Linked DNA regions of Danio rerio. The protein of the gene in region 3 interacts with the protein of the main gene of each other region in a biochemical or structural test. Links are inferred from orthologs where the notes say so. Each region holds a gene or a part of one and is shown on either strand. Other genes may lie near its edges.

The links.
Region 1: the proteins of lcp2a (region 3) and itk form a complex in vitro, tested with the Homo sapiens proteins (2 studies listed by BioGRID, with this or other methods). The link is inferred for Danio rerio from reciprocal best matches to the Homo sapiens genes LCP2 and ITK.
Region 2: the proteins of lcp2a (region 3) and nck1b form a complex in vitro, tested with the Homo sapiens proteins (2 studies listed by BioGRID and IntAct, with this or other methods). The link is inferred for Danio rerio from reciprocal best matches to the Homo sapiens genes LCP2 and NCK1.

Annotation. Positions count from the first base shown.
Region 1 is NC_133189.1:38,626,397-38,630,051, reverse strand, and holds part of itk (tyrosine-protein kinase ITK/TSK), read left to right. Parts: coding exon 1-46; intron 47-239; coding exon 240-314; intron 315-2,410; coding exon 2,411-2,579; intron 2,580-2,664; coding exon 2,665-2,881; intron 2,882-2,966; coding exon 2,967-3,031; intron 3,032-3,655. UniProt on the Homo sapiens protein: Tyrosine kinase that plays an essential role in regulation of the adaptive immune response. Regulates the development, function and differentiation of conventional T-cells and nonconventional NKT-cells.
Region 2 is NC_133199.1:3,692,879-3,697,025, forward strand, and holds the start of nck1b (SH2/SH3 adapter protein Nck1), read right to left. Parts: upstream 2,776-4,147; 5' UTR 2,738-2,775; intron 1,573-2,737; coding exon of another isoform or gene 1,496-1,572; intron 1-1,495. Other genes in the region: wdr37 (WD repeat-containing protein 37), read left to right, coding at 1,496-1,572, 2,776-3,010, 3,611-3,752. UniProt on the Homo sapiens protein: Adapter protein which associates with tyrosine-phosphorylated growth factor receptors, such as KDR and PDGFRB, or their cellular substrates. Maintains low levels of EIF2S1 phosphorylation by promoting its dephosphorylation by PP1.
Region 3 is NC_133196.1:32,961,754-32,965,978, forward strand, and holds the start of lcp2a (lymphocyte cytosolic protein 2a), read left to right. Parts: upstream 1-1,403; 5' UTR 1,404-1,688; coding exon 1,689-1,766; intron 1,767-4,225. UniProt on the Homo sapiens protein: Adapter protein primarily involved in signaling pathways within T-cells, as well as other immune cells such as platelets, mast cells, and natural killer (NK) cells.

The DNA.
Region 1 (3,655 bases), on a different chromosome or scaffold from region 3:
CCAACCATTCCAGAGCTCATCCGCTACCACCAACACAATCCGGCAGGTAAACTCTATATGAAGAGATGCTTTTATATTGCGTGCTAATAACATTTATTATTTGATTTTTATTATCTGATAGTTTGTTAGAGGCATTATAATAAATAACTGTCATAAAGATATGACAGTTAAACCACAAGAAGAAAAGTCGATTTGAGTCTTCTCTTTCCTTGTGCCTTGTTTCCTTGTTTTTGTGAAAGGTTTGATCACCAGACTGAGGCACTGTGTGTCTAGAAATGTCCCAAACTCTGCAAGGATCAAGGAGTTATCATCAGGTAAACTCGGCTGTGTTTTTTTTTTCAATTTCACAGCACAGTACACATACAGAACTTTATTATTATTATTATTATTAAAGAATCCTGAAACATTTCACAGTTTTCAGCTTTGATGTTTTAATTCAGCTCGACATTTTATTTTAAATAAATGTATTTTAAATTTAAATAATAAATAACTGCAAGTTATATAAAATATTTGTAAAAACTTTTAAAATGTTGCCGTTTTTTTGACATCATACGTCTTTTAAAAGCATTAAAACAGTTTTCCCAAATTATTTGTTACAGAATTTGTTAAATGAAATTTAATGAAATTAGAGTGATAATACAGAATGCTTGTTGTTTTTTATTTAGTATAATTCAAATTAAGATATATTACATAAAATATGTTTACATAGTTCACTAGACAAATATTTTACAAAATTATTCAAATAGCCCCCCTCCAAAAGTTTACATATCCTTCCGTTTAAATACTCTGTGATTTCCTGATGATCTATGAGTGCTTTGTGATGGTTGTTCACGAGTCTCTTGTTTGTTCTGAACAGTTAAACTGACTGCTGATCTTCAGATTTCCTGCAGATTCTTTAGTTTTGCAGCATCCAATGTATGATTGTGAGATTTATCTTTTCACTCGGAGGATGATTGAGGGACTCAATGTTTAAAAAAAAAGGTTTACACCACCTGACAAAAGTCTTGTTGGCTATCCTATACTATAAGTTTTAGGAGCAACAAATGATAAACTGACTTCTAGTTGGTCATTTGGTATCAGAAGTGGCTTATATAAAAGAAAAAGGCCTCTAGATTTCGCTTATTTTGCCCAAATAAATCATCATGTCTTGATTTTTAATTATTTAATTAGGACAGTAAGGTCTGACTTTGCTGAGACAAAAGTCTTGTCACTTAACAGAAATAATGTACACTATAAAATATAAAGTCCTGGTGCAGTGGAAAAAGAGTTAATATTGTGCTTGACACCCATAAGCTTGAGCGACTGCATCCATACATCACTGCAATGACACAAATAACTTATTAATAAAGTCATTTGGAATGGCAAAGAAAGTGTTCTTGCAGGACTCCTGCTGTTCATCAAGATTCATTGGATTAATCTTCAATGCCTCCTCCATCTTACCCCAGACATACTCAATAATGTTCATGTCTGGTGACTAAGCTGGCCAATCATGGAGCACCTTGACCTGCTTTCAGGAACTTTGATGTGGAATGAAACTTGACTGATTTCTGTGAGAAGTTTGAGTCCATGTGGGTTCCAATAGGTCTTCTGTTGTATTTCTGATGATTAGGATGCAGGTCAACAGATGATTCATCAGAAAAATCTACCTTCTAACACTTGCCAAATGATCAACTAGATGTCAAGTTATTATTTGTTGCTTTTACAACTGATATCAACGACAAGACTTTTTGTCAGGTAGTGTAAATGCTTACTGATGGAGAAGGAAACAGGAGGCATTAAGAGCTGAGGATTGAAAACCTTTAAACAGGACGAAGATCCAAATATTTCTTATTTTGACTCATTTTTTTCCATTTAGTACTGCCATTTAGTTGGAAAATAGCAGAAACGACTTATATTCATCCTGGAACACAATTTAAATTGATCTTCAGATTCTAAAAGTTTTCACTCCTTTGCTCTTAATGCCTTGTTTTTCCTTCTGAAGCATCAGTAACTTTTTTAACAGTAGTGTTTGAGTCTCTCAATCATCCACTGAGAGAAAAAATGGGTCTCACAATCACACAGCTACTGCCGGAAAGAGTTCAATCTGCTGAAGATGCTGAAAAACTCAAGAATCTGAGGGAGATGGAGAATTTACTGAAGAGCAGCAGTCAGTTTAACTGTTCAAAACAACCAAGTGATTCATAAACAACTATCACAAAGGCATATTTATCATATTATTTATCATATTATCAGGCATATTTAAAACAAAACTATTAAAAAGATCACATTGTTGTCAAAAATATTAATTATAAATCTAAATATTAAGTCACAGTCCCTCTTACAACTACTCATTTGTCTGCAAATACAATTTTGTATGATCACCTATTGTTTTATTAATGTACAAGCTAGTTTGTTTCCTTTTTTGTTACAGATAAGTGGGAGATTCACCCTGATGAAGTGAAATTAAGTGTGGAACTGGGCAGTGGGCAGTTTGGCTTGGTGTGGAAGGGAAGTTGGCAAGACATGGAGGTGGCAGTTAAGACGGTTCGTGAGGGATTTATGTCAGAGGAGGAATTCAAAGAAGAAGCACAAGTTATGATGTAAGCAACTGCAGTTTATGTACACCTCAAAAAATGAGGAATAAAAAATGTGAATTTATTGCTCACTCATTGTCTTTCTCCACAGGAAACTATCCCACAATAGGCTGGTGCAGTTGTATGGTGTGGTCACTCAGCGTTCACCCATATACCTGGTATTCGAATTCATGGAAAACGGTTGCCTTACGGAGTTCTTGCGGGCTAAAAAAGGCAAACTTTCCCAAAAGGCTCTGCTGGAGATGTGTTTGGACGTAAGTGAAGGAATGGCCTACCTTGAAAGCTCTAACTTCATCCACAGGGACTTGGTAAGTAGGCTATAAACAGGGAGTTTGGTTAGTCAGTTTCTTGCAAACATTTGTGCAGTTGTTCTTACATTCTTCTGTTTAATAGGCTGCGAGAAACTGTTTGGTTTCTGAAAATAGTGTGGTGAAGATAGCAGATTTTGGAATGACAAGGTGAGTAGCAGTGCGTGAAAATGACCGAGATCAATTTTTAGTTCAGTTAAATAATTATTTCAACCAATTTTTTTGCAAAGTTAAACAGTCAACTCTTTAATTGAATTATATAGCAACATCTCTACATTGTAAAAAAAAAAATTAAGTTGAGTTCTACACAATTCATTTATGTTGTCCAAACACAAATCAAATAAATTTACTTGTAACACTTCACAATAACAGTACAGAAATAATGATATTTTAATATGTAAACTAAGCATTACTTTATTATGAACTAATGATTAATTAATGTGTGCACTGATTATGAACTAACTTTAACTACAACATGAGCACATGAGTTCATGTGTGAATAACAGCTTCCTTAATTACTTGTTTGTACATGATTGTTTATTAATGTACTGTATTAATTACCACATTAGTTTATGCTTAACTCAACCATCAAGAATTCTTTATATGTTAATTTATAATTATGACTTTACTTGGAGTGGCACATCATCATTAACCCATTCTTAACTACTCATGAACTCCTTATGCACGTCTGTCAAGTGCGTTTACACTGAGTAACAATAGAAAAGGGTTCTGTTAACATCAATGTGAACAGTTTAAACACAGGAGTATTTTATG
Region 2 (4,147 bases), on a different chromosome or scaffold from region 3:
TCTTATATTTCTGTGTCTTGTTTATTAATATATGTTGGTGAAAAACGAATCAATATGTATTTTTATTAAAATGATCAATTGACAATAACAATTTCCACAGTATAGAATATATAATCCAGCAACTGGATTGTAAAGAACGCCTATTTCATTTATATCACAGATCAGTAATATTCGTCTGTCTATCTGTAAATGGTTAAAATTGAAGGAGAAGAATATGCTTAAATCTAATGAAATAAAAATGTCGGATTTTTAATTCAGAAAAATCTCAATTGTCTGAATTTTAAATTAAGATTTTTAAAATATTTTTAAAAATAAATGCAACTTAATTTCTATAATTTCGCTGGTTTAAATCCAAGCTCAGTTGCCATTTCTGCGTGGAGTTTGCATGTTCTCCCCGTGTTCTTCAGGTGCTCTGGTGTTCCCCACAGTCCAAACTAGAGATCTGCGCAGCACTAAATTTTGAATCCCGCTCCCGCCAGGTTTTAGCCCTAACCCGACCGCTCCCGCTTATATTTAGCATTTGTTGTCCCTCTGCCCAACCCGCCCCGTTTTCTACCCGTTGCGCCCATTTTCGCTAACGGACGAGGGGGAGAACAAAAGCGAAAACCCCCCAGCTATACAGAGTCCAGACAGCCTATAACAAACTATAACACACACACAAGCACCAAGCAAGTGACACACACACAGACAGCATCACGCTCTTTCTCTCATTCACGCATTCACGCATAAACACACACACAGCACAAAGCTCTCTCTTTCATATACACACACACACACACACACACACACACACACACACACACACACACAGCAAGAAACAAGCTAAGCGCAGCATCAGGCTGTCTCATTCACACACATACATACATACGCGTGCTTGCTCGCTCAGGAGTCAGGAGTGATATTGTTAGACCGCGAGCTTCTGTACAAAATTAAACCAGTTACCGACCGCTCCTGCGCTTCTTTCGGAAATTTATCTCCGCACCGCAAGAAATCTAGTCGGCCGTAGTGTACGAGTGTGAATGCGAGTGTATGGGTGTTTCCCAGTACTGGGTTGCGGCTGAAAAGGCATCAGCTGTGTAAAACATGCTGGATAAGTTGGCGGTTCATTCCACTGTGGCGACCCCTAATGAATAAAGGGACTAAGCCGAAGTGAAATAAATGAATAAATAATAATAACAAATGTTATAAAAATATTGTGAAAATGCCTTTGCTGTGTTGAACGGTGCTCGGGATAGATTTAAAAACATATTACAATTTCACAAGAGAGCTTTTAATATTGCCTTCAACTGTGTGTGATTGTCTGCTGATCTCTCATGATGCTGCTAATGAGGAGTTATTTCATGACTGAGGGCTGTACTGCATTAAGACTGAGATGTTTCTCTCTTTCATATAGATTTGTATTTCCCAGATGCTTTTAAATGTGATTTGATCAATGGCTGTGCTTTTTTCTTTTTGCTAATGTTGCCTCTGTGTTTGTTTTGTCTGTTCCTGACAGCGTCCGGGGACCAGACGGCTCACATCTGGCGTTACATGGTACAACTGCCACTTCCACAGCCTCCAGCAGACATCAGCGTGAGTATTAAACACACACGCACACACAAACACCCACAGAGACATGCGTACACACACGCGCATGCAGACGCAGACAGATACACTTAGACGCATATGACACACGTGTACAGACAAACATACACACAAAGGCAGACAGATGCGTACACAAATGCATACAGTACACACAAACGCAGTACACACAAACTAATTAGTTAACAGTAAGTGTAATATTAGTAATAATAAATATACAATTTAGTAATACTAAAATGTTCTGTGTAATAAAACGAAACAGGTAAAAAGTATTGAACACATGAAGGGAGGTGTGGAAATGCATGGAAAGCCCAGACAGCAGCTGAAATCTCTCAGTAGTTCTTCAGTAACCCTCTGCTTTTCCTCAGTGTAAATGAATATCAGCTGCTTCAGTCCAACATCTACATTAGCAGGATGATGGAGATGAAACCAGGGTGGACATTTCAGCAAAACAATGATCCATAACCAAGTAGACTTTCAAATGCTTTCAGAGAAAGAAAATCAAGCTGTAGAATGGCCCAGCCAATCATCTGACCTAAATCCAATACAGAATCTCAGATTTGATAGACGAGACCCACAGAACCATTCATTCATTTTCTTGTCGGCTTAGTCCCTTTATAAATCCGGGGTCGCCACAGCGGAATGAACCGCCAACTTATCCAGCAAGTTTTTACGCAGTGGATGCCCTTCCAGCCGCAACCCATTCCTGGGAAACATCCACACACACTCATACACTACGGAAAATTTAGCCTACCCAATTCACCTGTACCACATATCTTTGGACTGTGGGGGAAACCGGAGCACCCGGAGGAAACCCACACGAACGCAGGCAGAACATGCAAACTCCACACAGAAACGCCTACTGAGCCGAGGCTGGAACCAGCGACCTTCTTGCTGTGAGGCGACAGCACTACCTACTGCGCCACTGCTTCACCCACCCACAGAACCATATGTATAATATTGTGAAGCATCCTATAGAAAATAATATGAATGTAAAAGCGAGATCTGTAAAGGGTGTACTCATTTATCCTGTGCACTGTAAACCCTTTAATTATAGAAAAGTGTTTTATTTTTTATGAAATGTTTGTCAATTTGATCAGTTTTTCTGGTCATAATAACAGCTGGAGATGCTGAAATGGTAATGAAATCAAATTACCTCAAACATTTGCTCTTGTCATTTCCTGTGCGACTCAGGCCTCGCTGGACGATGACGTGGATTTCTCTGATAAAGACGAGGCAGACGGCGACGCTGATGGACCCAATGAATGCCCCACCATCCGCGTGGCCACAACCACCTTGAAGAGCCACCAAGGCGTGGTGATCGCCGCTGATTGGCTGGTGGGAGGAAAGCAGGTGGTCACTGCGTCCTGGGACAGAGCCGCAAACCTGTACGATGTGGAGACCTCGGAGCTGGTGCACACCCTGACAGGTGAACATGAGGAGAAATAAATCAACATTTACTAATGTGTTTAAGGAGAGTTATTATGGATATTTTAATTCATTCATTCATTTTTCTTTGGCTTAGTCCCTTATTTATCAGGGGTCGCCACAGTGGAATGAACCACCAACTATTCCAGCATATGTTTTACACAGTGTATGTCCTTCCAGCTGTAACACCCATACACACTCATACACACATTTTAGTTCACCAATTCCCCTATAGCGTATGTGTTTGAACTGTGGGGGAAACCGGAGCACCCAGAGGAAACCCATGCCAACATGGGGAGAACATGCAAACTTCACACAGAAATTCTAACTGACCCAGCCGGGACTCAAACCAGTGATCTTGCTGTGAGGCGACCACTGAGCCACCAGTTTTTAATATTTGTTGTTTTTTATTTCTTATACTCGTTTCTTTTATTCTTGTTCATGTAAACCACTTTGAATTACCATTGTGTGTGAAATGTGCAATATAAATAAAGTTGCCTTGTTTATTATTTGTTAAACCCTCAACTACAACTCAGTTGTATTGTATCAACCTCTACCCCAGCTCTAACCCTCACCATTACCTGTTTGTGTGTGTTTGCAGGTCACGATCAGGAGTTGACCCACTGCTGCACTCATCCGACTCAGCGTCTGGTGGTCACTTCATCCAGAGACACCACCTTCCGCCTGTGGGACTTCAGAGATCCCTCCATCCACTCAGTCAATGTCTTCCAGGGCCACACCGAGTGAGTCACATCATCTTATTGACCGTCGACATATAAACAACCTGCCAAAATGAACATTTGGTGTCACTTTAAATTACTGTATGCTTGTAAAATATTAATATTAGAGTAAATTAAAGTGCTTTTTATAGAAATAATATGGTATAATATTTTTTAATATGACATAATAATATAATAACAACAACAATAATAAATATTATTATTATATTTTAATAAATATTATATATTTATTAAATAAATACATATTTTTGTATTAGACCATAGATAAAGTTATGAATATTTTTTCAAAATGTTTTCCATAGTCATATTTTAATAACATTTTCAGTTCTTAAAGTGTTATGATTTTATTATTTAAACATACTTTAAAAAAAATGAATGAATTAAGATATTAAAATTAC
Region 3 (4,225 bases):
TCCTAGCCGAAATAAAACAAATAAGACTTTCTCCAGAAGAACAAATATTATCAGACATACTGTGAAAATTTCCTTGCTCTGTTAAACATTATTTGGGAAATATAAAAAAAAAAAAAAAATCAAATGGGGGCTAATAATTCTGACTTAACTAACTGTACATATATTTATTATATATTTGCTATTGTGTATATATTTGTAAATTTTGTTGAAATGTGTACATCAATAAAAAGCTATATATTTTTAAGCAAATTAAGCTTATAACCAAAAGACTATTACACAGTAAACAAACAAACATGTTTTTATATTAATTTAACACAAAATGCGTTAATCAATCACGTTTTAACATTTCAATTATCTGAGATTCAAATTGATGTTTTATGTCAGTTGTCTTTCTTGTAACATAAGTTTAAATGACTTGTAAATTTAAAATCAAACCAAAAGTGCTCAGGCGTAGCTTAAATAATGTGTCGGTGATCTTTGGGTAAGGGATTCATCAGAAGAAACTGCAAAAGTCACTCCAAAGCACTTGAAAAATGTGAAAAAAAATTATAAAAAATGGTTTTAAAATATTTTTTTTCACTTTTTTCAAGCACTTATTTTTACAACTTGAAAATTTTATTTGATTCAACAAGTCAGCATCTAATTCTTTAAAGTGACTAGTAAGATGTCAAACACACAATTTGTTCTTAATTGTCCATCTGTGTTATTATATTACTATCATTGTTCATATTACTATACTGCCTGTTTATTATAAAGCACATATTAATGTCTTATTCCAGTCTTATTTAGATCCCTTGTTAAAAAAAAAAAAAAAAAAAAAAGAAGTGGTTACAGAATATTCACTTTCAAAAATGTTGGGTTCCACACAATTCCTTCATGTTGTCTCAACACAAATCGGTCAAGCTAACTTGAAAGTTTGTACAAATTTATCTGGATTGAACATAAAACAATTAAGTTGTTTCACAAAAAAATCCTTAAGAATTGTGTCGTTTCAACCCATTTCAAATAAGTAGTTTAAACAAACAGCAAAAGTCCTTTTCTAAATGTTTCGTTGAGTTGAATTAACCTTACAAGCCAACTTGCATTGCATTAAATTGATGTAAAGCAGCTCTTATGACTTAAAAAATAAGTCGAAACATGCTTAACTTATTTTAGTGAGTTACACATAACAACATAAAATAAAAATTAAAAGTTGTAATAAAAAGTTTATTTTCTTACAGTGTACGCATGTTAAGACAACCTTTCATATCATGAATAAGTGACAATCAGGCGGTTATTGAAGGGGAAAACTCTTATTGGTGAACACATGTAATATTAAGATTTTTTTTTTTTTGTGAAGGGGCTGTACTTCCCCTATTTGTCAAAACAATCATTAACAGGAAGTCTATGGGGAAGTGGATGTCATTCTTTCTTTTCATACTCAGCTCAGGCAAATCCGGGGTGTTGGGTTTTTTCGTGTTTTCAGAAAATGTCGGTTGAATTTTGAGTAATTTCTTTAATTTCTGGATCGGCAACTGGGTGATTCTGTCATTATTTGGCTTTCTTTGGTTTGTTTTTTTAGAGCTGACACGTTTGTCTCCTCGTGTTCGGTGTCAGACGAAGTGTGAACTCAATCTGAGAGTGGTTGCTTTTTTTTTTTTTTGGATGCTTGTAGGCATTTAGGATTTTATATTCATCAGTGAAAAACAATGAGTTTTGGAAGTTTGCCGTCCAAAGCCGAGGTTCTGAACTGGGATTCACATAGCTTGGCAGACTTTTTGAAGAAGGTACTGTAGGTTACTTTCTCTTTTTGTGTCTTTCAATTGTGTAACTTTAGAATTAAATTGTACAATGAAATGGGTTGAAATGTAAAAATATTGTTGTGTAATCGGTTGTTGTTTAATAGATGTTCAGTTCAGATATTCTGTCATAGATGTTTAGCTTGTATCGACTTGGTCAGCACATACAGCATGCTTTTAAAGATATTTACCACATTTATTCATTATTTTTTGGATGTTGGATTTATACACACACGATAAGTATATAGATTCAATAAAATGGAATTCAGTAAATGTATGTCTTTTTATAGGCATTCACTAAATGTAGATGATCTATAAATACTGTATTCAGTAAATATATAGGGCCTTTTAGAGACATTCAGTAAATATTTGGTCTTTTAGAGACATTTAGTAAATATATAGGGTCTTTTATATATATATATATATATATATATATATATATATATATATATATATATATATATATATATATATATATATATATATATATATATGTAAATATATTGGCCCTTTTATAGACATCCAGTATATAAATATATATATGGTCTTTTAAAGACATTTAGTAAATATTAATGGTCTTATATATATTCAATAAATATATAGGGCTTTTTAGAGACATTCAGTAAATATAGATGGTCTTATAGATATATTCAGTAAATATGATCTCATATATATATAAGCAAAATCACACGAGTAGTGTGCTATGGCTGTACATCAGCACTGGTGGGAGGCGTGCGTTGGCACAAGGCCGCAGGCCGAGTGCCTTAGCGCCCCACCAGTGCTGATATACAGCCATAGCACATTACTCGTGTGATTTTGCGTTTATAGCACAGTTCGACGACAAAATCTTGTACATAAAAACGAAAATCAAACACAAGAGTCTAAAACCCTTTTGTATTAGTAACTATTTTCTTCCGCCATTCATTCACATCTGCAGCTGATGTCAGAACAGCAGAAGCCATTACTAATTCACCAACGTCACTTTAGAGCTAGCATTTGATTGATTCTCTATAGCGTAATGGGAAGCAGCGCTTCTGGTGTGTGACCCCACTTAAGGTGATGACAAAACAGCAAATTTTGCTCACATTTTAAGATTATAAGGCTAAACGTGACATGAAATGTCATCAGTCTACAGAGATTTCTCACCAGACTGCTGTTGTGTTTGCGATAAGGAGGAACAAGGCTGAATCCAGCTTCTTATTCGCAGCTTCTTATTAACTCTATCCGGTCCATCTTAAAAACCATAAGGCTTCAGTTTTTCAGCTTTTTATATGCGCTCAAGAGAACACACTGAGAAAGGGCTTATTATGCGGTTCTGGCGCCATCTTGTAGATAGACAACGTCAACCGTCTTTGGCTGCTGACGAGGTCTCAAAAATTGTAAATATTTTAAAATAGGCACTATTATTACAAATAAACTGCATAGTTGCAATCTAAACAACTACATTCTCGACTAAAAAAGCCTCAAAAGTACATATTGTTGTCTAACAACAGTAATATTTGTCAAACTGTAGCCTGCTTGTTGCTTGCTGTAAGGGCGGAGTAATACACAGAGGTGAAGGGTGAAGAGGCCTCTGTGTGATGTTACTGGCAAAATATCGCATGGATATTAGCCAAACAGATTCAAGAACCAGACAGAACTGTTGTTTAAATGAATATATACTAATGAATACATACACATACAGTAAATGTATAGGGCCTTTTATAAACATTCAGTAAAAATAGAAAATATTCTTTCCTCTGGAGAAAGTCTCATTTGTTTTATTTCAGCTAGAATAAAAGCAGTTTTTATTTGTTTATGAACCATTTTAAGGTCAATATTATTAGCCCCTTTAAGCTATATATATTTTTAATAGTCTACTGAACAAACCATTGTTATACAATAACTTGCTTTAATTACCCTAACCTGCCTAGTTAACCTAATTAACCAAGTTAAACCTTTAAAAGTCCCTTTAAGCTGTATAGAAGTATCTTGAAGAATATCTAAATATTGTGTACTGTCATCATGGCAGAGATAAAATAAATCAGTTTTAAGAAACAAGTTATTAAAACTATTATTAGAAATGTGTTGAGAAAGTCTTCTCTCCATTAAAAAGAAATTGGGGAAAAAATAAACACAGAGGCTAATAGTTCAGGGGGGCTAATAATTCTGACTTCAACTGTATATTCAGTAAATATTTAGGGCATTTTAGAGACATTTAATACATATACATTGTCTTTTTTTAGACAGGTCTTTTAAACCTTCTTTAGATAATCTTTTATTGGAATTCAATACATACATATGTTTTTTTTTTATTGGTCATGATGACCTTTAATAGACAATTGGTAAATATAGACTTTCTTTCTAATAGATATCCAGTACATATATTTTGATTACTTATTTTTATTTTTTATATTTTTAGTAGATATTTTTTTATATACATTTACAGATGTTAAGCACATTTGGGC